Oryzias latipes: one gene and its partners. The protein of the gene in region 3 interacts with the protein of the main gene of each other region in a pairwise test. Links are inferred from orthologs where the notes say so. Each region holds a gene or a part of one and is shown on either strand. Other genes may lie near its edges.

The links.
Region 1: the proteins of transforming acidic coiled-coil-containing protein 1-like (region 3) and lsm7 interact in binary tests that used the Homo sapiens proteins (3 or more experiments, as listed by UniProt). The link is inferred for Oryzias latipes from reciprocal best matches to the Homo sapiens genes TACC1 and LSM7.
Region 2: the proteins of transforming acidic coiled-coil-containing protein 1-like (region 3) and ckap5 interact in binary tests that used the Homo sapiens proteins (3 or more experiments, as listed by UniProt). The link is inferred for Oryzias latipes from reciprocal best matches to the Homo sapiens genes TACC1 and CKAP5.
Region 4: the proteins of transforming acidic coiled-coil-containing protein 1-like (region 3) and memo1 interact in binary tests that used the Homo sapiens proteins (3 or more experiments, as listed by UniProt). The two-hybrid records come from large-scale screens. The link is inferred for Oryzias latipes from reciprocal best matches to the Homo sapiens genes TACC1 and MEMO1.

What each region holds. Positions count from the first base shown.
Region 1 is NC_019862.2:8,272,069-8,277,853, reverse strand, and holds lsm7 (U6 snRNA-associated Sm-like protein LSm7), read left to right. Parts: upstream 1-2,371; 5' UTR 2,372-2,478; coding exon 2,479-2,484; intron 2,485-2,717; coding exon 2,718-2,808; intron 2,809-2,903; coding exon 2,904-2,975; intron 2,976-4,607; coding exon 4,608-4,750; 3' UTR 4,751-5,019; downstream 5,020-5,785. Other genes in the region: kelch-like protein 24, read right to left, coding at 634-1,045, 1,172-2,081. UniProt on the Homo sapiens protein: Plays a role in pre-mRNA splicing as component of the U4/U6-U5 tri-snRNP complex that is involved in spliceosome assembly, and as component of the precatalytic spliceosome (spliceosome B complex).
Region 2 is NC_019864.2:27,049,323-27,055,014, reverse strand, and holds the start of ckap5 (cytoskeleton-associated protein 5), read right to left. Parts: upstream 3,754-5,692; 5' UTR 3,676-3,753; intron 3,316-3,675; exon of another isoform or gene 3,187-3,315; intron 13-3,186; 5' UTR 1-12. Other genes in the region: c6h11orf49 (UPF0705 protein C11orf49 homolog), read left to right, coding at 5,251-5,293, 5,392-5,494. UniProt on the Homo sapiens protein: Binds to the plus end of microtubules and regulates microtubule dynamics and microtubule organization. Acts as a processive microtubule polymerase. Promotes cytoplasmic microtubule nucleation and elongation. Plays a major role in organizing spindle poles.
Region 3 is NC_019863.2:30,784,298-30,790,242, reverse strand, and holds the start of transforming acidic coiled-coil-containing protein 1-like, read right to left. Parts: upstream 3,281-5,945; 5' UTR 3,163-3,280; coding exon 2,941-3,162; intron 103-2,940; coding exon 1-102. Other genes in the region: nsg1 (neuronal vesicle trafficking-associated protein 1), read left to right, coding at 3,853-3,981, 4,101-4,217. UniProt on the Homo sapiens protein: Involved in transcription regulation induced by nuclear receptors, including in T3 thyroid hormone and all-trans retinoic acid pathways. Might promote the nuclear localization of the receptors.
Region 4 is NC_019873.2:27,903,906-27,909,054, forward strand, and holds part of memo1 (protein MEMO1), read right to left. Parts: intron 4,488-5,149; coding exon 4,406-4,487; intron 4,334-4,405; coding exon 4,265-4,333; intron 4,106-4,264; coding exon 3,993-4,105; intron 3,761-3,992; coding exon 3,649-3,760; intron 1,486-3,648; coding exon 1,343-1,485; intron 1,257-1,342; coding exon 1,180-1,256; intron 149-1,179; coding exon 44-148; intron 1-43. UniProt on the Homo sapiens protein: May control cell migration by relaying extracellular chemotactic signals to the microtubule cytoskeleton. Mediator of ERBB2 signaling.

The DNA of each region.
Region 1 (5,785 bases), on a different chromosome or scaffold from region 3:
AAAACCCACTCAGAGGAAAATCGTGTTTTTGGTGTTTTTTACATGTTTTTTGACATGTTTTCTGAACAAGGAGGACATATATTAGGAACATTAAGCTCAAAATTGCATTTCTGCGTTTTTCATTGTTGGAAAACTGGTGCAGATGAAAAAATTTTGGGAAAAAGATTGTATTTTTTACGTAGAAATAAAAATGGGTGTGGCAGAAGCTCCCTGCTCCACTTGTAGAAGACTAAATCCACGTACGTCTTTGTTTTCCTCGTCAGAGCTGGCTTCGGATGGATAACTCCAATATGGCTCGCCATTTTTGTTGCACTGGTAATATTAGGTTGGGGGTGTGAAGGGCATATGGCTATTGAGAGAGCATGTAAACAGAGAGCTCTCAGCAATGGGGAGGGAAAATGGTGGCGGGGTTGCTCTGCGCCAACAGTCCCTCCCACAACTCAGAGGTGAATTTCTAATGAACTGCTTCCCCACAGAAACTAAGAAATGGTTATTTTGGCTAAAAACTACATAATCATGATTAAAAACCACTGGAAAAACTTTTAAAACAGATCAAAAGATGATTGGAGTGGGTCTTTAAATAAAAAGGTAAAAAACAAGTACAAGTAAGAACAACATGCATTTTCTACTTACCTTGGAAATGGAGAAAAGGAGACCACGTCCCACTGATCTTCCTTCACCAAATATCTCTGAATTCCTGCATACACCTCCCCATTTTCATCCAGGCCACACGCTACATAGATGCACAACCCCACAGCTACAGTGGCTGCCCGCTCCACTGCCCTGACCATAGGGCTCAACCCCTGCCAGCCATCTTCTGATCCAAAAACCAACCCCTCAACATCACCCACGAGGCCTTCATCCATGCAGCCTCCCAGGACATACAGAGAGGAGTCCAGCCCCATGGAGCAGTGGCTGTGTCTGGATTTCTGCAGGGCCGGCCCATCCACCCAGCGCTGATTTGAACATTCGTATATCTTCACCCAGTCCACACTGAACCACAGCACATCTCTGAAGTGGCCTCCAGTCACAACCACGTTGTTTCCTAAATGGAAAATACACCTTAAATTTACATTTATTTTATACATTTATAATGTAATATAATTTATACATTTATTTCACATTTGAGATTTCAAGAAAAGCATTCTCTTTAATCTTAATTGGATATTACCTACTGCAGCTACTGAGTACTGAGTTAGATTCTTCTGCTGCAAAGGTGCACAGCACTGCCATCTACCGCTCAGAGGGTGGAACTGATACAGTGCCTGCTGTTCCTGATCATGAGGCCCTCCCAGGACATAGAGAGTCTCTGTAGCTTTGGTCCGCCTCAAAGACCTGCCTACTGACCAAGAGGCTGGGAAGTGATCATTCAGCTTGCTGATGAGCCTTGCTCGAGGGTCAGAACCTTTCATTCTGGTCAGAAGTTGGGTAATAAATGCTAAGGAGAGAGACTCTGGTCTCACCAGCTCTATTAGCTCTAAAAAATGTTCTTCTCGTTTAGGATCAAACGAAACCCAGCGCAGGGTGGCTTCAAGCGCCACATCGTCTTTGTGGAGAGCCAGATCATCACTGGCAAGTAGATCAGCAATACTTTCCTTGGAAAGGGACAGAAAATCCTCTTCAGCTGAGACCGCAGGGAAGTGTGTGAGCACAACCTGCCGGGCTGCAGAATAAAGCTGAGAGCAGCCCAGTTGCCATGCATAGGCCATCATTCCTAAACAATTCGTGAGGTGTAGCTCGCGCTCCAAGAACTTGCAACACAGCAGTCTGGCTTTTTCTAGTTGTAGATAGTTTGCAGTCTCAAGAATCCCAAGAACATTTTCATGGTCCAAAGTCAGACGGCGAGTCTTGCTGTACTCTATCAAAACTTTGAAAGACTGTCGACCCACACCTTTGATCTCAACAAGCTTTTTGCGGCTTTCCACACCACAGCCAAAGAACAGAGCTCTGAAGTATGGACTCTGAAGGGCCAGGTGCTCCCGACAGACGTAAAAGTTCTCCTCCTCTACCCGTAGGACAGCATCTGGAATAAAATCCGGCCCAGGGTCTTCCACATGAAAAGCATATCCATCTTCGTCCATTGTGTTATCTAACTCATGGAAAAGATTGATTGAAGCTCTGAAACTTCACTTCAGTCACTGTAAAGAGTAAAACAAGTCTACTGCTTTGTCCTGTTTCTGGATCACAACTACGGTAGGTTCCCAACACACCAGCTGGTGTGTACTTTGTTTATTAATAGACGCCCCTGCCCGGAGAATGCAGTTAAGAAAGAGGTCAACTTTGAAAAGTAAAAGTTTTTTTAAAAATTACTATTAAAATACAATTATTTAGTAAAACTAAAGCTAAGAACATTTTTTTATTTTATTTTTTGAGTGCAAATAACTTCAGATGACGTCAGATGCGAGTTTACGGCGATGTGATTGGTGCTATTAAATTGTATCTGGGGTCAAAGTTTAACTTCCGGGTCACACTTCAAACATGGCGGTGAGTGCGAAATAATTTCGTTTAATTTTCTCTCTTATTGTTCACCGAACATTTTCTATTTGGTGTTAGTCAGTAATAGAATACTTGAGGAAATGAGAATAACATTTCTGAAGTAACGGCCGTTTTATTTGTGAAATTGTTACTGCCTTAGTCAGTGATGCTAAGCTAATGCTAGGCTAAGGGTCTGCGCCTTAAACTGTGCATTAATCTTGGAAACTGACATTTCTTTACAGGATAAAGAAAAGAAAAAGAAGGAGAGCATCTTTGACTTGTCCAAATACATCGACAAGCCAATTCGTGTGAAGTTTCAAGGAGGACGGGAGGGTAGGTGGCTTGTCGAAAGATTGTAACTTGTGGTGACCAGAATATTCACAGTGATGTCAGAATATAATTATTTACTTTGTTTATTCCCTCTTTAGCCAGCGGAGTTCTAAAAGGGTTCGATCCTCTATTGAACCTGGTGTTGGACGGTACAATTGAGTACATGCGTGGTAAGTGAAAACTCACGTGTACCCACTTTTCTTAATGGAGAACTAATAATTAAGTAGTTAGGAGTTATTTAGTCCATGGTTTACTGATACTGTTATGTGGACTCAGGCTGTGAGGTTCAAACTTTCTAATTCTTTTTCATTTCCAAAAATACTGTAACTCTTCTTTCAGTTAGAATATCAGCTTCACTCTTCAAACTGTTTTTTTAAGTAAATCAATTGTATTGATCTCCATTTAAAAAATGTAATATTTACTCATCAAAGCCGCAAGATTTTCTTTTTTTTTTTTAAACGATTTTCTCGTGCCTTCTCAGACAGGAGAAGCCAATCTGTTCGCCTTTATAATATTTACAATTTTTTGTATTTAAAGTTCTATTTTTCTTCAATTTATGAAAGTGACTATTCCCACATAATTTTCTAAATACGTAGAGCCGGTGCAGAACTTCTTTCTTGGCCTCACAGACCTGGAGGAATGGTTAGGGTTGGGTAAAACCACTAATGACTCTGATAAATGCATCTTTGCTGAACTTAATACGTGAATTTCCATCTGTTCTTGTGCAGTTTTTACTCGTAAATAAGTGTGAAAAACATCAGCGTTAATTTAATTCATCAGTTCTACAAAAGTGTGTATTTCTTAAAAACTAAAGCTTTAATAAAAATTGAAAAAAGTTAAATTGGAAATTAAAATGAGACTGAACTTTTTCAATAAACATTGATTTATTGTGCTGTAGTCTAAGACAGGTATTTTAGGACTTAATGTTTTGTTTTTAATCAAACTTTGAACTGCGTTTTCTAATCACAATTCCCCATCTTGAAAAAATGTCCTGTTTGTCATCATGAATGCATCATGTCTGCATCATGTCTCTAAAGATTCATAAAGAAGGTTATTCATATTTTTCAGAAAAACCATCAACAAGATGGACTTTTGTTTTCCAAATACATAACATGACCTCATTATTTCTTACTATGATGAGCATTCATGATGAAGACACATTAAAGTCGAGAGAAAATTAACACTAGCCCACTCTCTAATGCCGGATTAACAATGATTAATAAAGTAAACACATTTTAAACGTATATATAATTTGGCTGCATTAAAATGTCACAAAGAGCAGTTGGAGCTACTTTGATCGCCATGGCGAAAAACTGTTTTTTGTAAGAATGTTTTTTCTTCTAATTCTCCTTTCTAAATATTGTAACTTTTCTTTCAGTAAGAATTTCACCTTCACTCTTCAAACTAAGTAAATTAATTGTATTGATCTCCAGTTAAAAACTATAATAATAATTCATCAAACTCGCGTTTAATAACGATTAAAAACTTGGCGTGTTTTTCCGTAAACCAAAGTTTTTATCTCCCATTTGCATAGGTTCTAATAGGTCATTATCATATTCTGAAGCATTTCCTTAACATTAAGAGTCCACTAGCTAGAAAAAAATGTTTTTGTGTTTGAACTAATAACTCTTTGCATTGTAATATTGTTTTCCTCTAGTATCGGATCAACTGTGGACTCTTGTTCTGTTAAGCATTTGTCACATTTACTGACGGCAATAAAAATCTCTTTAAATGTACAAAAACTGCAACATAAAGATGAACATCCTCTGGCATTTACAATCCCTTTGTGTGTCTGTGTGCAGATCCAGACGACCAGCTGAAGCTGACAGAAGACACCAGGCAGCTGGGGCTGGTGGTCTGCAGAGGAACCTCCGTCGTCCTGATCTGTCCTCAGGACGGCATGGAGGCCATACCCAACCCCTTCATACAGCAGCAAGACGGCTAAATCGCCCATGAAGTGTTAGACCTTTGTTTTGTTTCTATTTTTGTTGTTTTTGTTTTAACCAACCTAATGGAAGAAAGCTGGAGAATCAGCAGTAAAAATGACTTTTGAATGCACTTCCCTTTTGTTTGTGGTGTCCAGACGTTGGAACCTCTGTTCTAAAGAGCTCATGTGCTACGGAAGTGCAAACCTTTTCATTTTTATGCAGGAACAACGTGAGCTTTTTACTGTTTGTTTTTGATAAGAAAAATAAAAGGAAAACCTATGCTGGAGTTTGTTTTTATCTTTGGGTGCAGTCGCTCCTTGCAGTGATCTGAGCTGGATCACATCTTCCTTTTCACACCCTGAGTGAGCTTTTGTCAGTTTGAAGGGAGTTTTTGTGTTTGGAATGGGAAAGCTTAGGCACACAGGGAGAAATCTGCGGCATTAACGACTTTAAATTAGAAATGCTGTAAGCAGAGTGGGGATACTGTGCTTAACACCCATGTTTACATTGTTTTTCTAAATGATGGAGAATTTTTGCAATAATAAGTTAAAATAAATCAAATTCTGCAGAAAAAAATGTGGCGTTTAATGTCTAGTTTTCATGGATAAATTGTACCTTAGTTTTATTGTGGGTTTTGGGACCCTGATGGAAGAACTCGGCGGATCCTCCTAGAGCTCTTTAAGATCTTTGGTCAGGTGAGGCACTCACCTGTTTACCTGGAGCTCCTGGACACACTGAGGTGTGGCCAACGGGATCCCAGCGGATGGAGCTGGGAGGAGACGGGGATTCCTGCAGCTCAAGCTGCCGTTTCTGAGTCAACAACACCGAGTGACTGAGTTCGGGAGAGGCTCGGCACGCCCCGGATCAGGTGGAGCATATAGCGGACCCGCCGGCCCGTCTCCTCGCGGAGGTTCGGCTGAGAGGAGCGCGCGCCCTGGTCAAACCTTCAGAGCGATGAGAGGACAAAGAGGTGAGTTTTCCATCAGAAACCCATCCTGTTTGTCACCAGAACGACAACAAAAAAACACTTTCAATTAAGTAAAAATGTTTCT
Region 2 (5,692 bases), on a different chromosome or scaffold from region 3:
AAAGGTACTCAACTGGAAAAAAATAAATAAAAAATACACAAATTATTTCAAAACGCATACAAAAAAAAAAAAAACACTTTCAGCTAAAAACAATAGAAAGTTAAAGTTCCGTCAAAATGGATTTCACCTTCACTAAACTCCCCAGAAAAGCAATAACCATCAGTGTGAAACACGCCGTCTCACTTCCGTTTGAAGCAATCATGACTTAATGCACATTAAGGGAAGGGATGTGGGTTCATCTTTCACATTGATTCAGTCCATGAAAACATTCTGATGGGTTGGACCCAGTCCAACATGGGAGTTAAAAAAAATTAAATAAATAAAGAGGAAAAACAGCAACAGAGTTATGCTACCAAAACTCAAACCCGACCAAAACAATATTTAGAAGCCTAAACGCCAATGAGAATGGTTGTTTTATCTGTGGCATTTGTGAGTCTCTGGTAAAATGCCAGGGGCATCCCTGCTTTCATTTATACAGCTGTAAAAACAGACTCAACTCCAGGGAACGTGCATGTTGACAATATGGTTCCTTTCTCTCCAAATGTCATCATTCAACATTAAAAACTGTTTAAAAAAATTAAAAATACAAAAATATCTGAAAATTGTGCATCATTATGTTACATAATGATGTCCTCGATTGGTTAAAGACACACTCCATTAAAAATCATATTTTTGGTGTTTTCAACATGTTCAACATGTTTTTGAGGCTTTTTTTTTAATCATAATTGAAGGACATTTTTAAAGACAAATTAAGGTTTTTAGGTGTGTTTGAGAATTTAATCTTTCTAAATGTTTTGAATTAGGAGCAGACAAAAAAAGATACTGCTGGAAAAAGCTTGTAGCAGTGACGTAGGGCAGTGGTCCCCAACCCCCGGGCCGCGGACCAGTACCGGTCCGTGGGTTATTTGGTACCGGGCCGCGCAGAAAAAATAAGATAACTTACACGACTTCCGTTTTATTTGTTTCGGAATCTGAAAGATTTTTTATTTTGAAAAATTGCCCGATTCTTTGTTACATCCGTCTATGTTACTCTTGACGCAGGCCAATTCGCTCGTCTCAGTCAGGAGATAGGATACTGCTAAAATAAAACCCAGGAACTGGCAAAATGAATAAAAAACAAACGTCTTTGGAAAGTTTCTTTGCCAAGTGGAAAAGGCCCAACCAGGAGACAGAAGAGGAGCCTTCGACTTCCAAAAAATACATTTAATAGACAGCATCAGGAGTCCTACTTAAAATACGGTTTTATCCCAACGGGAGATTCCCTTGAACCATTCAGCATTGTGGTGATTTGGATTTTCCATGCACTTATTTTAAAGGCATGTTTAAATGTTATAATAATAGCGATCAGGGAGTGTGGCGGGCAGAGAGGACGTTGCTCATGTCATAATTATTGTTTATTGTTATGTTTAGAAAATACCAGTTTTCATGAAAGTCATATTATTTTGTTGTACTGTAGTGTCGGTCACGTGCACGTTTGGTCTGCTGTCGGAGTTCCGCAGGGGTTACTGTAGGAGCTTGCATCGCAGGGAATTAAATGAATCCCCTAGGCCTGCTTTGGTCAAAATAGGGTTGAGCACGGGTGTTTCTTTTTGCCTACGGGTCCCTTCATCTGGCAGTTACGTTGTTTCACCCTTAGTTAATTCTTCCTGTTGTGTTTACTTCTTTTTAGCACCACGAGTGTGGGAAGGGGAGAGGATGATGACACCTGTGCGATGTACAATGTTTAGCGTGTCAAAATAAAAGTGCATGCTTGCCATTTTTGTTGCACCGGTAATGTAAGGGTGGGGTTGTAAAGGGCTGTGAGCTACCGGCAGAGCAACAGAGGGATGTCAGGAAGCAGGGGCGAGCTTACTCCATGCAAACAGTCCAATCCACAACTTGGAGGCAAATTTCTAATGAACAACTGCTGCTCTGCAGAATCCACGTCCAAAAAAAAAAAAAAAAATGACAGGTTTTTTTTTATTTTGGCTTTAAAAAAAAAACAGAATAGTCATAATAACAACGACCCCTGGGAACAATTTTAAAATAGATCAAAAGATGGTTAAAGTGGGACTTTAAAATGTTAATTATAATTTCGATCACATTCATGCAACCCAATTTTTATTGAATTAAAATTCTAGAATTTAAATGGGGGGGGGGGTAGGCCATTCATGTTAATGATCCTCACAAAACTTACTGTTTGCTCCTCATTTTATCTATACATTATGTCACAGAAACACTGCATTTGCTGAAAAAGGACAAAAGCAGGACAAGCTTCAACACCAATGGGACTTGCAGGGAACCGGCCATTTTTCCAGGTTAAAAAGCAGCAGAAGCCTATAAAGAGCTGATGTTTGTGTCAATAATTGAAACACCAATACTTTTGGGCAGGAACTTCCACTTACCAAATCTCCAACTATTACTGAAACAGCAACATCAATTAAAAGGGCATTCCTATTATGGTTCAGTTTATTAGTGACTAATAATGTGGTACGGCAAGGGGGAAAAACTAGATATAAACACCAGATAAGGTCAAGATCTTCACACGGTTCTGTAGAACATAATATCATCATGACAGTCTATGCAGCCTTTATTTTGATAAGTACAGATGTCAGGCACGAGCGCCAGAGATCCATCCAGCATCCATCCAACCTCACAGAGAAACAACGCGATATCATCATCGTTGCATTTTAGTCTCCACCAAGACAATGGTCGTCTTCGTGCAACCAGCAACTAGTCAAACCCCCCACAAAAAGCCAGTCAAGGAATGTGTCCCTAAAAATCAACAACCTGATATATAGGAGTGGTCAGCATCTTAAACTAGCAATCGTTACCAGTCAAAAACGAGCGCCATTAACCTCAGCAAACACAGTGGCTACTGGCTAAGGTAAGGTAGCCTCCTAAAATTGATAAAACCTCCCAGGGTTAAATTTTTAACAGTCTTTATAAACTGTACGTGCATTTTCCAAGAAACGTAAGATTAAAGTCCAATTCTGCTGAACTAACGATGCTCCATCGCTCTCTGTAGCCGCCGTTAGTTGCTTAGGAACAGGGCTACGGGCTAACCGTTCACCCCTGCCACCAGACAGGCCTAACAACGCAGTTCTCGCCGACAGACCAACAACACACACAGCACCACGATACGGCTCCTAAATGTAATTCGACATTTGGTTAGCGCCCCAAAATAAACTAAAATCAACGACATACCTGTGTGCGCCTCCTGGGGACTATAAGATGATGGCAACTCAGTAAAATGACAGACAATGAGATCACCACAGAGCTCGGTCGAGTTTTATACAAGCAGTTTGCGGATGTTAGCAACTTTCCACTTCCTGTACAAATTAAAAGAGTCCCCTTTACTGAGCCTCCTTCCATAAAGCATTTCGGCAAATTTCAAATTGGTATGATATGTATTTAGAGACACTTGACAGTAGAAAATACAAAAATATAAAATTACTCAAATAGTTCCAATTATAAGCGAAGGTTTGATTGACTAATTTTCGTTCTAAAATCAACTTCCGGCCCTCCGTTGCAAACACACATCAAACTTGACTATTCTTTTTAAATTACAAGGGTGGAGAGACAGAGGAAGGCGGAGACTCGGGACACCACCCTAAGTACATCAAACCTCGAAACTTATACATTCAAACAAAAGCACGAAGTGCAAACAAAGACTTTTAAACATCGGATCAATACCTTTTAGTTAACATTTGACGCGTGTACATTTGGTCCAACTGGCTTCCTTGAGTGTTTAGTGACGATGCAGCTGATTGGTTGAATTTGAAATAGGGACAACCCCCAATATTGATAGCCCTATGCTGATTGGACAAAAATAAGATAACACCCAATGGATAAAAACTGTTTGAACATTAAATCCGCCCAGATTTCTGTCAGTTTGTGTGCTATTGGATAATTTCATACGTTCCTTTCACACACATGTCTTTCCTATTGGCTGTGGGTAAACAAACCAATTTGAAAAAAACACATTTTTTTTACTCTACCATATACATTTTCCGCATATAAACATTATTTCAGACCCATATAACACTCCCAAATGGAAATCACAATATGTCTTATGCTGAAATAAATCTTTATTTTAAAAAAACTGGATGAGTGAAGGCATATTTATATAGGTTTAACTTACATGATGGGAGACAATATACCAACATTATAAAAACCATTCTCCAATCTTTCCTTCAAATCAATCACACTAATTCAACAATTTTAAATTCCCTCTCTGTTAGGTCTCATAGGTCCATCTATGATTATCATGAACATCATTACCAACAATTATCCAGTGAAAGTTTTACATCACCTTTTAAAAAAGTGGTGTTTTGGATGGTTCACATGTTATACTATGACTATGTGTGAGGGAGCCTAAATTAGACTATAATGTCAATTTCTCTCATTTTCTCCAGTCAATTTTCTTCAAACCTGTAGAGATGATCACGAACAACATTACCAACAATAATCCAGTGAAAATTTTGCGTCAGCTTAAATGAAGCAACTTAGAAAGAGTTGCCATGACCAGATGTGCCCTTTTACGTGGAGTTTCTTCATTGCTGTTTGATTCCATTCCATGTCATGCTCAACAACCCACAAAACACTCTTGTCAGTGTTAAATCTCACTTTTAGAATCTGTCTGATTGATTATATTTCAGACAAAACACGTTATTTCCGGTAGTTTATTGTGGAATGAACAGACATGCAATCCAAATGAATACATTTGTACATCAAATAACAATATAGGGCTTGCAATAGCTCTCGTTTATTTCAGAGCACAGTACATGTTATTTGATAATGGGTTCCTGTGACATGGGTGATATTAGCGCTTTATATCGTCTTTTCAGCTCGCTGGGCGTGTGTACCGTAAACTATGATGTGACTGACAGACTCTGCAGTCTGAAGTGGGACTAATGACTGTGTCTGTTTTTATCCAGATTTGTGTTAGTTTATGTTTCGTTGTTGTTTGGTCCCTCAATTATATCAATATTGTTGATTGATTCGTTCATTTCTGTAGTTATTGCTTCTAAAAGCGATTTTTCATTTGTAATGTTAGGGGGAACCTTTGTTGCGCGCTCGAGGGGGACTCGAATTAATGTAGCTCACAACATCCGCCTTTTCCCTTGCACGGACCATCCCGTCAGACAAGACGATGTTAGGTCCATGGAGCCGATATTTACTAAACAGATTCGATAAACGGAGTTCGGGTTCGTGTTCTTCGGGGTTGTTTAGGACGATCTGAGCAGGTTTTCCGACTGAACAAACAAAATGAGCCGCCTAAGCGCCGCCGTTCCGGTAGAGGAGTATCTCGGTAAGTTAGTGCTGGTTGTAGGTACCCTCTCTTCTGGATCTCGGTTCGGTCCAGTTCTGGTTTCTTCATATTTACGTGTCTGTTTTTTCTTTCTCAAGCGGAAAGTCACGTCCTTTTCTACCTGGGTGATGCCGTAAACCAGCTGCTGGAACACAAAGAGGAGTACACCCAGTTCGGACTGATCCGATACTTCGCCGAATAGTACGTGACGCAGGTTGTTCACAGCGATTCACACCAAGAGTGGAACGGACTGGCTGTCCAAACCCGGTCCAGTTAGTCCAGATTAAAGTTTTAATAAGACAATACTCAACTGTGAATGTTTTCTCAAAGGAAGACATTTTGAGTATTTTGTAGGAGCATCATTTACTGGAATTGAATGTCTCCTTTCAGTAGACAGTA
Region 3 (5,945 bases):
ACGGCGCCGGTCCATGTGGCTGAATGGGAAGTGGGAAATAAACTTTCTGGGCAGGGATCCGTGAACAGAGGGGCTGTTAAAGGCACAGCGGTCCCAGAGCCTCTGCAGACAAAAAAACAGACTTTATTAAATATTTATGTCACCATTGAGCAATAAAATTTACAAATGTTATCAAAAATAACTTTACAATCTTTTCTAACTTTAAAAATGATCTTTTTTTTTTTTTTAGATATACCTCATTTTTAAGCTAGACACCAAAAAAATTGGAAATTTAAAATAAAAATGTAGAATACAAATAATGTAAATATTTGCTCTTGTAAAAATTGTCTTTAAAATTAGAAAATGGATTTACCCAAAAAGTAAATGTGATAAAAACACAAACATAAAGGGTTGGTGGAAATGATCATTTAATTATCATTATTCTGATCAGAGCCGCCCGTCCAGGCTGTGGATCAGGAATGAGCTTCCGTTTTTTCCCCCAGGCTAAACTGCTTCCATGTTCTCAAAGGCACAGATGAAAGGAGATTTCCCTGTAGCTTTATCTATGCAAGTCATTTAAAGCTTTACACTGAAACCAGCAGATGTCACCATAAAGATGCCAGGACATGTTTGGTTTAACATCCTCCAATGAAAGACAAAATCATATGTTGCCATTAGATTAACAACCATTTATTGAGCAACATCTTCAAGACAAAAAGCAAAACATTTTTATTTTTTTTAATATGTCACAGATCTTTTTTTTGTATTTTTATTTACATTTTGTATTTCCTTTTTTCGGTTTAAGATACAAACTGCATGATAGAACAGAAAACCCAATTTAGTGTCATTTTTGAATCCTAATATTACATTACATTGGTCTCAATGGGCTTGACTAGTTATACAATAACATAAATCAGTTAAAAAATACAATAGCTGATTGCTAAATTAAACAACGTAAGCTAAACTGTTAGACCCTCCTTCTCGGTAAGGAAAAAACTCCTAAAAAACAAACAAAAAGCAGGACGGACAGGCGATGGACAAGAACACTTAGAGAAGAATGAACTTCTCTAACTCTACAACTACTTTTACTCAAACAGATTTTTTGTTCTTCACTAGAATAAAATCAGAAGATTTTTGTGGATTGGTGAAAAGCCGACGGTTATAAGTATAGTTTCACGTCAAAATAACTGGAGTTTATGCTAAAAGAAATTAGAAATTAATGTATCAAATGTAACTTTTTATTTAAATATGCCATCATAATTTATAAACTAAAGTAGAAAATAAAATATCTTAAAATTTGAGAGCAAAGCTTTTTTCTTTTCATTTACTTATTTTTTCACTCTTCTCTTTTTGTAAGACTGATTTATTTTATTTTATGTGCATTTGTGTTATATCTTGTTTAAAAAAACAAGTCAAAATTTAAGTTAAAAAAAAATTTGAGAGCCAAGCTTGTTTGAAAATTTCCTTAATTTCACCATGTTATGATACAAATTACTTATATTTTTTAACGGTAAAGCCACCTTCCTTCTTCCTTTGTCCTCAATGATTCCCTTTTGGGTCTAAACATTTTTTGTGTTTTCTTAGAGCAGATGTTTCGCTGGATCTTCAGGATATGCGTCTAACCCTTTATTAGAGGGATATTAATTCATTTATTGATTAGAAATGAATCATAAATGAAAGATAATGTTAATTGTGATGAGAGGATAGTGGAAAATCCATAAAAATCCTGTTTTTTTTTTAATGATGGATCACATCTCTTTTCATTCGTTACTTCTCCTTTTCTTAAAACGTATTCTAGACTGATTTGTTGTTTCATTATGCAACCCCCCCACCCCATATCCTGGCAACAAGTGTTTGGATTTTATGCAGCGGCACATTTCGGTTCAACAATTCCTGGAAAACCAGAGAGTCTCTGTTCCTGTAGGACGAGCATCCACAGAACGCCAAGGCGGCTCTTTAGGTACTGTTGAATTAAGATGACAACAAAGGGAAAAATAAAAATAAAAATGACCTCTTTTTGTTTCTTCTGTTGTGGAAAACTACCAGAAAAAAAGAAGAATTTGTCAAATCAAAGGACACGGCGTGTTTAATTTCTTCAAAGTCGCATCAACAGAGATTTTCTGGCCTCTTTTTATCCATTAAAAGAACATTATGAACATTCAGCTTTTATAAAACCATAAAGCAGAGTACAGGATGGAGACAGAAAGGATTTCCTTGTTTTGTAATCCATTCATCTTCTAGGTCACAAAGGTCGGGGGAAGGTGGGCTGCACACTGAACAGGTTGCTGGTCACCGACAAAGCATGAACTTGGATGGATGCACATGCAGGCTTCACACAGAACCAGAACCTCGTCACTGAGAGGAGAAACTGTTTCCCACCACAAAACTGTGCAGCTTCTATATGAGAAATGTCAAATATGAAGATAAACGTACAGAGGAATGCAATGAGTCTTTGATCCCTTGTTGACTTTGTAGGTTTGCCCACCCAAAAAGAAATGGACCGTCTGTCATCGTAATGGATGGTAGGTCCATTTGAGCAGGGAAACAAAGAAAATTTAAAACTCCACGTAAAAGAATTTACATACATTGATTTTCTTTTCATTGAGGGAAATGCGTTTTGATCCCCTACAAGAGTTGTGGTTCACACAGACTCTCCTAACCAACCTGTCACCTGAAGAGAGGTAAGGCTTTACACAAAGTCTGCTTAAGAAATGTGCCAAGTTTATCAATGAACACCTTCATGACTTAGAGGGTGATTGGGAGAAGGTAGTCAGAGGAGCCCAACATGGAGGTCTTTGGAATCAACTCAACCCGTTGTGTTTGGAGGAAGAGAAATGCTGCCTATGACCCAAGAAAACCGTCCCCACTGTCAAGCATGGAGGTGGAAACATGATGGTTTGGTGATGTTTTCCTGCAGTGCTACTTCGCCATGTGGATGGGCAAATGGGAGGAGCCATGTACCGTCAAATCCTTAGTGACGACCTCCTTCCCTCCACAGGGAGGCTTCAAATTGGTCGTGGTACGGTCCAATGGAACCAATGAATGGCTGAAGAAGAAGCAGATCAAGGTCATGGGGCGGCCCAGCCAGTCTCTGGACCTCAATCCTGTAGAAAACCTATGGAGGGAGCTGAAGCTCAGAGTTACCAAGCAACAGCCACCACATCTAAAGGATTTAGAAGTCATTTGTAAAGAAAACTGGACCAGATTTCCTCTCGATATGTTCCCAATATATAGCCATTTCTTTTTTTAGTGGCCAAACCTACAAAATCAGAAAGGAGTCAAATACTTTTTTTCTTCCACTGTTTATCAAATAATCATGTTGCTCATTTACCTACAAGAGTCAAACTCCTTCTCATGAGTCTTAATGAGCTTTTGCAGTGATTGCTGCTCCCCACGCAGGCTGCAGGACCCCAGCGGCGCGCGCGCGTGCCTGCTCGCGCACGAATGTAGGGATGTGGTGAGGACGTTACATCACTTGCAGTGCAGCCAGACGCCAGCAGCAGCATCCAGTTTGGGGGACAGCGCGACGCACAAAGCCGGCTGGCCATATTGTGCAGCAGCTTCCCCGCATATCGGCTGCGTTACACAAACCCCGCGCGCTCACCAACGTGAGGAGGAAAGCTGTTTAAACCGAGACTCGGCCGAGCTGGTAAGTCATTTTCATCCACACCGTCCTGCTCGTTTGCGGTAATGGGGAAAAAAAAAAAGCAAACGTAGAAACTTTGCGCGTTTCCAGGCCGCGCGCTGCGCGTCTTTTTTTGCGCTTCATTTCCGATGTTTATCGGGTGAACAAAAGCAGAACTGCGCGCCAGCGATGCTTTGGTAGGTATGCGTAAAAACGTGATGATGGATGAAACCTTCCTTGCAGGGAAAATGGTCAAACTGGGGAATAATTTCACCGAGAAAAACAACGTGAAGGTGGTCTCGGAGGACGGATTTGACACCATTCCTCTAATCACACCGCTGGATGCCAGTCAGCTGCAGTTCCCTCCACCTGACAAGGCAGGCTCGGCATTATAACCGACAACAATCATCCCTTTTATGTGTAAATCATGACAATAAATAGGAGAATAACGGCCAACACTGCAAGCTGCTAATCCCGGTTGCTCATTTTCACCCAGGTGGTGGTGAAGACAAAGGCAGACTATGATGCTGAGAGCAAGAAGGGGAAGCTGCGGTCTCCTAAAATTGCAGAGTTCTCCATCAGCATCATTGAAGGCGTTTCTGAGCGGCTGAAGGTAAGAAAAGCATCCCTCCCACAGAAAGCATGATGGTCGCCTTCCTGCATGGAGTTCAGGACATTAGTTCCCCCGCAACCCCAGCTTATAAACACTTCCTTATTCAGCTCCCTGTGCTGCTTGTCATCTCATCATGGCACGCAAGAAGACATAATGCACTGTGATTCACTTAACCCCGCCCTGAAACTCTCATTAATTCAGCTGCTGCCATGGCGATGGCCTCCACACAGCATCTCTCCCTCCTCCCTTTAATGGCCCCCCTGGTTTGGATCAGCTCCACTGTTTACTCTTAGAAAAATGATTAAAAATCAAGGTGAAGAGAACGGAAAAGTAAAAAAAAGCAGGTCTAATCCTCTGTAAATCAACAGCTGAAACTGCCTCTAAGGTTTGACAGGTTTCCTTTTTCTTCTTCTCGTTTTTTGATATATGAAAAAAAAAAAGTCTCATCTTTGGCTCAGACAACAAAAGCATCTGTGCTTTGAAAAGCTTCAGATGGTCCTTCATGCAGAAATTCTCTTTCAGCTTCTCCTGTTGCTTTGCTTTGTTCATTCCCCGCATGCTGCGTACGTTCCACCAGGCGGATAAAAAAAAGAAAAGAATATTTATGCATACTTTCTGAGGAAAACGCATTTTCACAAATATTTCCAAAACAGACCCTTCCAACCAACGAAAAGACCTCAAACGCATCGTGGTGGGGACCGCAGTTTTGTCTGCAGCGTTCATTCCTCCACAGTTCCTCAAACACCAGTGGTGGTTGCATAACTCCCAGAAGAAGTGGGAACCGAGCACCACAGATGGTCACAAACGCATTTATCTGCCTCCAACTGTTTCATCTTCCAGCAAAATCCAGCAAACTCTGCAAACACATTCTTGGATGTACATCTTGATTTCTCAGATTAAAACTTGAAATTCCAGTTTCATCTAAAAACTAACTATTAAGACTAACTTGGTTGTATGTTTAGTAAACAAAGTTAACACTAAATTAGATTTGAAATGAACAAAAGCAGAACAGAAAATTAAAGGCTTTTTTTTTTTTAAATGAGAGCATCTTTACATGTACTTTATTTTGAAATTATTTTAGCCATCAGAAAGGATATAATACTTTCAATGTTTTAGGTATACCTGCTCCTTATATTATAATCAGATCGTTTTCTAACGTACGCCTCTCGTCAGTGCAGCCTACAGTCCGATGGGGTGGATCACTATTTTCTGCACGTACTGCTCATCCGTGTAGAAATCGCCAGGAAAAAAGGGAGAATTCCTGCAGAAACCGACGGACTGAATTAGAGCCTCTCTTGTTGTGGATTAGGATTGATAAGTAATCTGAGAGTTAACTTTATCTATAATTGCTTCAAGTTTAATTGCAGAACTAAAAGTTTAGCAGTTTGACGATATGTCTCTACATAGAGATTTAGATATATGTACAGATAGATTGACGGGTTTGAACTTCTATAAAATTGGTCCTTTGGGCAGACAGGAGATTTTAGGCAGCAAGCGCGACACGTCAAGAAACCAAACATAAAAGCAGCAGATCTGCCGTCAAGGATAGAGAAGAAACGTTAACGGTGGATTTGATGCTTCACAATCTCTGACATGATTGAAAACCGTTTGTCGTCCTAATGACACAAGCAAGCAGAAAATGTTACACAAGTGAGCTGTACAGTGTGTCAGGATTATGATTTTCCTTTTCAAATATTTATTAATAGTCTAATTTGACTTTTTTTTATT
Region 4 (5,149 bases), on a different chromosome or scaffold from region 3:
AGATTTGTCGCGACTTTAGAAACTCCGCCTTCCTGCCACTTACGTTTAGCAGGACTCCGATGGGGTGACGCCCGCAGATGGTGTTCCGGTACTTCTTTAGGTAGTTGGTGAAAGACATGGGATCCAACTGCTCTATAATGCTCATCCCCTAAACAATAAAAGCAGAGAAGAAACTCAACAATAAGAACAATGGAACCCATATTGATCATAGCAATAAATGAGCTCAATTCGCTGTAACTGGCACAGAATAACTTTTCGCGTGATCTTTAGTGCGGTAAACTAAACTCCTAAGTTGAACACAACTGTTCTTTGTGATCAAAGCTCCGTCGCTTTCATTTGAAATTTCTGAAAAGATTTAAAGAAAAGAACATTGCTAACTGTTAAACCTATTTTTCCACAGTTCAGTCATAATTAGTGCTGCCAGGCCGTTAATGAATCGTCACCTGTAATCGATTAAACTAATTTATTTTCTATTGGAATTATTTTTAACCTGATAATTGCTGTAAAAAGCCTCATTTTGAGATCCTTTTATTTTAAATCCTGGCATTATGGCGCAATTAAAGAAAATTACTTTATGAAGTTTTCCTTATATAACAGACTTCCAACCCTTACTTTTAATATCCATTTTTTAATGTTTTTATCGGTATTGTTGAAAAAGAAGATGGAGTATGTTTTATGAAATAAAAGCACAGAATCCTTTTATTATTATTATCATTATCAACAATCTTTGGGGTCTATTCTCATGAATAAAATAATTATTTATTATTTGAACATGTGATTGTTTACAACAGACTTATTTTAAATACTCTTACAGTTTATTTCAAATGTTATTTTAACGGTGGGATATATTTTCATGCTAAATTATAAAAAATAGTTTTGTTTTGACTTAAATCATATTAAATATGTGTCTCAGCATTTCCATACATCACTTTTCATTCTTATTTTTTCTGTTCTGTTTGTTGTTTGAATACATTTTATTGGAGCATTTGAGACATGAATATTGGTATAAAAATAAAGTTGATTGAAAATAAAACATAAATCCAAATGACAATAAAACCGATCACGCTACACGTGTGCTGGTCCAAACGCTGTCTGTAGCAGAAAAAGACCACCGTCCTTTTAACCTCTACAGCCATGTGTGTGTAAATCCAAAGTGAGGCGGCGTCTTGGTGGATTTACCATCTTATCCAGGTTCTCGATGGACCTGTAGATCTCCCCTTGAGATTCATCGTAGTACGTGTAGCGGAACCGCTGACCTTCAAAGAAACACGGCAGCACAAGCCCAAGCTCAGGCGTCATGATCACAAACACAGCTTTCCCTCCCAACGCTGAACGTCTGTACCCCAGTGGCAGAAGTCCGATGAGATGATGAAGAGGTTGGTGGGGTCTGCCAGGTACTTGCTGAGCAGCTTCCCGTACTCCTGTTCTTTGGACTCGCTGAGAGCGCCCACGAGCACAGGAACGATGCTGAACTCGTCTTTGTGGCTGCAACATCACATCACCTTTTATGCTGAGGTTTCACTCCCCAGTAGAAAACAATCTCAGTGCCGATCGATGTGTTTATGTTCAGTGGAATAGCGTGCAGACTCCAGCATCAACACATGCTCCCGCCGCCCACTTTTCCCGTTTATCAAGTGATATTTCTGCCACCACATTGCCAACAAAAAAACATAGTTTTTAGATAGAAATTTCCTAAACTGAAAACAAAATATTAAGTTTTCTAAAAACAAAACTTTCAAATATTGTTTCCAAAATGTGTTTTTGCGACACTAAAGTTTTCTGATGCATTGTCGCTCATCTCGCTTGCCCCCCCATCTTTGATATCTGTGACAATTCTGCCACCAAACAGCCAATCACAAACAAGAGGGTTCATGCTGATTTGTCTAGATTCCATCCAATCAAATCGCTCCATTGATCTATCGTGGTGTCTCAGAAGCTGAACCAAATATCTTAAATTCGGCATCTTTTTGCAGAAAAATTTTGAATTATTTTTAAAATAATTCATACTTTCTTTTAGTATTGATTAGATTTTATGTGGTATGAATTTATGGTTGAAAATCTCCTGAAACCGTAAAAAACTTCAAAGTTTATCTGCTGACATGACGCTAAACAGGCCGGTGTGATGGAGAAATCCCCCTGAGCAAAATATTGCTAAGAAGTTGGATTTTCCTTAAGATCTGTTTGTTATAAAAATTAAAAAGTAAAACATTTACAGCACATGTTATCTTATGCTGCACAAAAGTGTTTTAGATTCGATTAGCAGCAGTAGTAAGTAAAGAAAGGAATGATGGCTCACCAAAGTAGACTTAATGTATTCAGCAGAATAAATGGCATTTTTCACTTTTAATGTTTCTTTTTTTGTCAAACTGAAACGTATCAAAAACAAAATCAACGATGGAGAAAAAGTGAGACGAGTGACAAGACATCAGAAAACTTTTATGTCGCAAGAATGTATTTTGAAAGCAAACATTTAGTATTTCTATTTGCAACATTGAAAGTTCTGTTTCTAAAACTGAGCATTTTGTTTGCAATTGAGGACGCTTTGATTTCAAAAGTGCGATTTTTGTTCGTAATGTGGTGGCAAAAATTTTACTATTTATTTTTCTCTTTTACGCCTCGCTGTGTTCTGCAGCCTGATTGGCTGTAAATTGTGTCGATCTCCTCTGAGCCGTTTCTCCTGTACAGACGGTTTTCAGTTAACCAGAGTTTAAAACATTCTCTATCGCGATCAGATCTTTGTTTTAAATCTATAAAACAAAAAAATTACTTTTCATTGAAAGTTTGAACTTTGTGACTTTAAAGATGAGAGAAATGAGTGAAAATGTTATTGTAAAGTTAAAAAGACAGAGAAAATGTGTTCAGAAGAGAAGATATAAGGTAGATTAAGAAAAAAAAAACGCTATGGGTTAGAGACGGTAGCAGTGAGACAGAGACAAGAGGCTGAGATGGAGGTAGCAGAGATGAAGATGTTGAGGTTCTCCTTAGGAGTGACCAGGTTAGACAGGATAAGGAACGAGTACATCAGAGGGACGGCTCATGTTGCCTGTGTTAGCGACAAAGTCAGAGAAGCCAGACTGAGATGGTTTGGACATGTTCAGAGGAGGGATAGTGGATATATTGGTAGAAGGATGTTGGAGATGGAGCTGCCTGGCCGGAGGGCGAGAGGACGGCCAAAGAGGAGATATATGGATGTCTTAACAGAGGACATGAAGTTGGCTAACGTTAGGGTAGAAGATGTTCATGATAGAGTGAGGTGGAAAACGATGATTCGCTGTGGCGACCCCTGATGGGAAAAGCCGAAAGAGAAAGAAAGAAGAAAAAAAAAACGCAAATAAAAAAAAACAGGGCACTCTGTTTGTATTCATCTGAAAAAGGTCAACAAAAAAAGATAAAAATAATTCATTTGATCAAAAATATTGGCCTGTTGTAAACAAAATGGCTGTATTTACATTAAGTTGTGATATATTATCATTAATGTTTGTTATATTTTACTACACAGGGATGTTTTAATGAAGTTTTTAAAAATTGTGATTATTCTATTTTAGAGTTTCAGCTTTATCTCATATTGTATCAGATATAAATCATGATCAATATTCCTTTATTTCAAATAAAAAAAGGGTTTTTATTTGTTTTCTGGGTGGACATTACCTCTCCATGGCTTTAGCAGTGTAAGGCAAATGCATTTCAATACTGTGCTCATCTTCGTCGATCTGCATACTTATTCTTTCAAACAGTCCAGTTTTCCAGAGGTCCGCATAAACTAAGAGAGAAAACAAAGCAGTCAGTAAATCATTCTTAATGTTTACTTATTTAACTTAGAAACTGTGATAATTAATACCAGAGAAAAAAGAAAAACAAGTTTATTCAGGAAAGTCACAAACACATTTTGTTATAGAAAATGAATACCATTAAAAATGATGGAATACCATACGAATTGTGGATTCTTTTCTCACTAAAATGCTACAAAAATGGAGTCATAGAGGAGTAAATACCCTTCTGGTCGATCCTCAGGTCATACAGAGGAGTTCTATAGATGTCTGCAGGTGACAGGGCACAGCGGGAGAGCGGCACATGGTGTGAAGGTCCCAGGATGAACACCCTACGACTGAAAGAACCAGCAATCAATCTCACTCATTTCAGACAAAAAAGCCCCTCCACCCTCGCTGCAGTCTACATGAGCACATGCTCCGTGGAGGACGAATGCAATGGAGTCTGCAAAAACACGGAAAGATGAAGAATTGGTGCACAAAGCTACGCCACTTACGTAATAGAGGGATCAACCTGCTTGTAGGCATGTGCTGCACAAGCACCACAGTAGGTGTAGCCAGCATGACTGCAGACAAACACGTGTCAGTATAGAATGAAAACATAGAAGGAAGTCGAGAGCGTTTTATGATGCTCTTACGGCGCTATGATGGCTCTGGCGGGTCTGATGGTCGACTGCGCTTGGGACAGCCAGCCTTCTAACTGTGCATTCAGCTGGGATCCTGCAAACATTTAACAACAAGCATGCAAATTCATTATTTACGGTCTCTAGAATAAGTAGTAATTGTTGAGGGTAAACGAGAAAATACAATGCATTTCTGATTAACGACTGAATACCAGTACGTTTACATCCAAAGTATAGAGTTGTGCTAGACTTAAGAAGAATTATTGTTTTATTACATCACACAAGGCTTAGCATAAGCCAAGTGAAAGGTTTTCCTGATTGTGACTTGAACCGCAACAAATTTTTTTTTTTTTTTTAGATTTTTTGTAAAATCAAATCATATTTTGAACCAAAACAAAACTGTGACTAAAAAAAAAAAAAAATCAAAGATTGAACCAAATCAAGGGGGAAGTAAATAGTTGGATCCATAGTTGAAACCATTAATAAAAAGCTATTAATCCATTTATATATACAATTTAATCATTATATTCCGCAGACAAAAGATCCCTCCAAATCAATAACTAATCATAACACAATGAATTAGAATTTTGCATTCTCGTTCAGTAAATTAGATGTAAACTACTTCTCTTTTGTATGTAAAAAAGTAACTGCACTAAAATAATATTTACTGATGTTAATAATTGTTGGGTCATGTCAATAACATACGCATGTAGTCAAATAACAGGTATTCAGTCGTGACTACAGTTATGCTGTGTGACA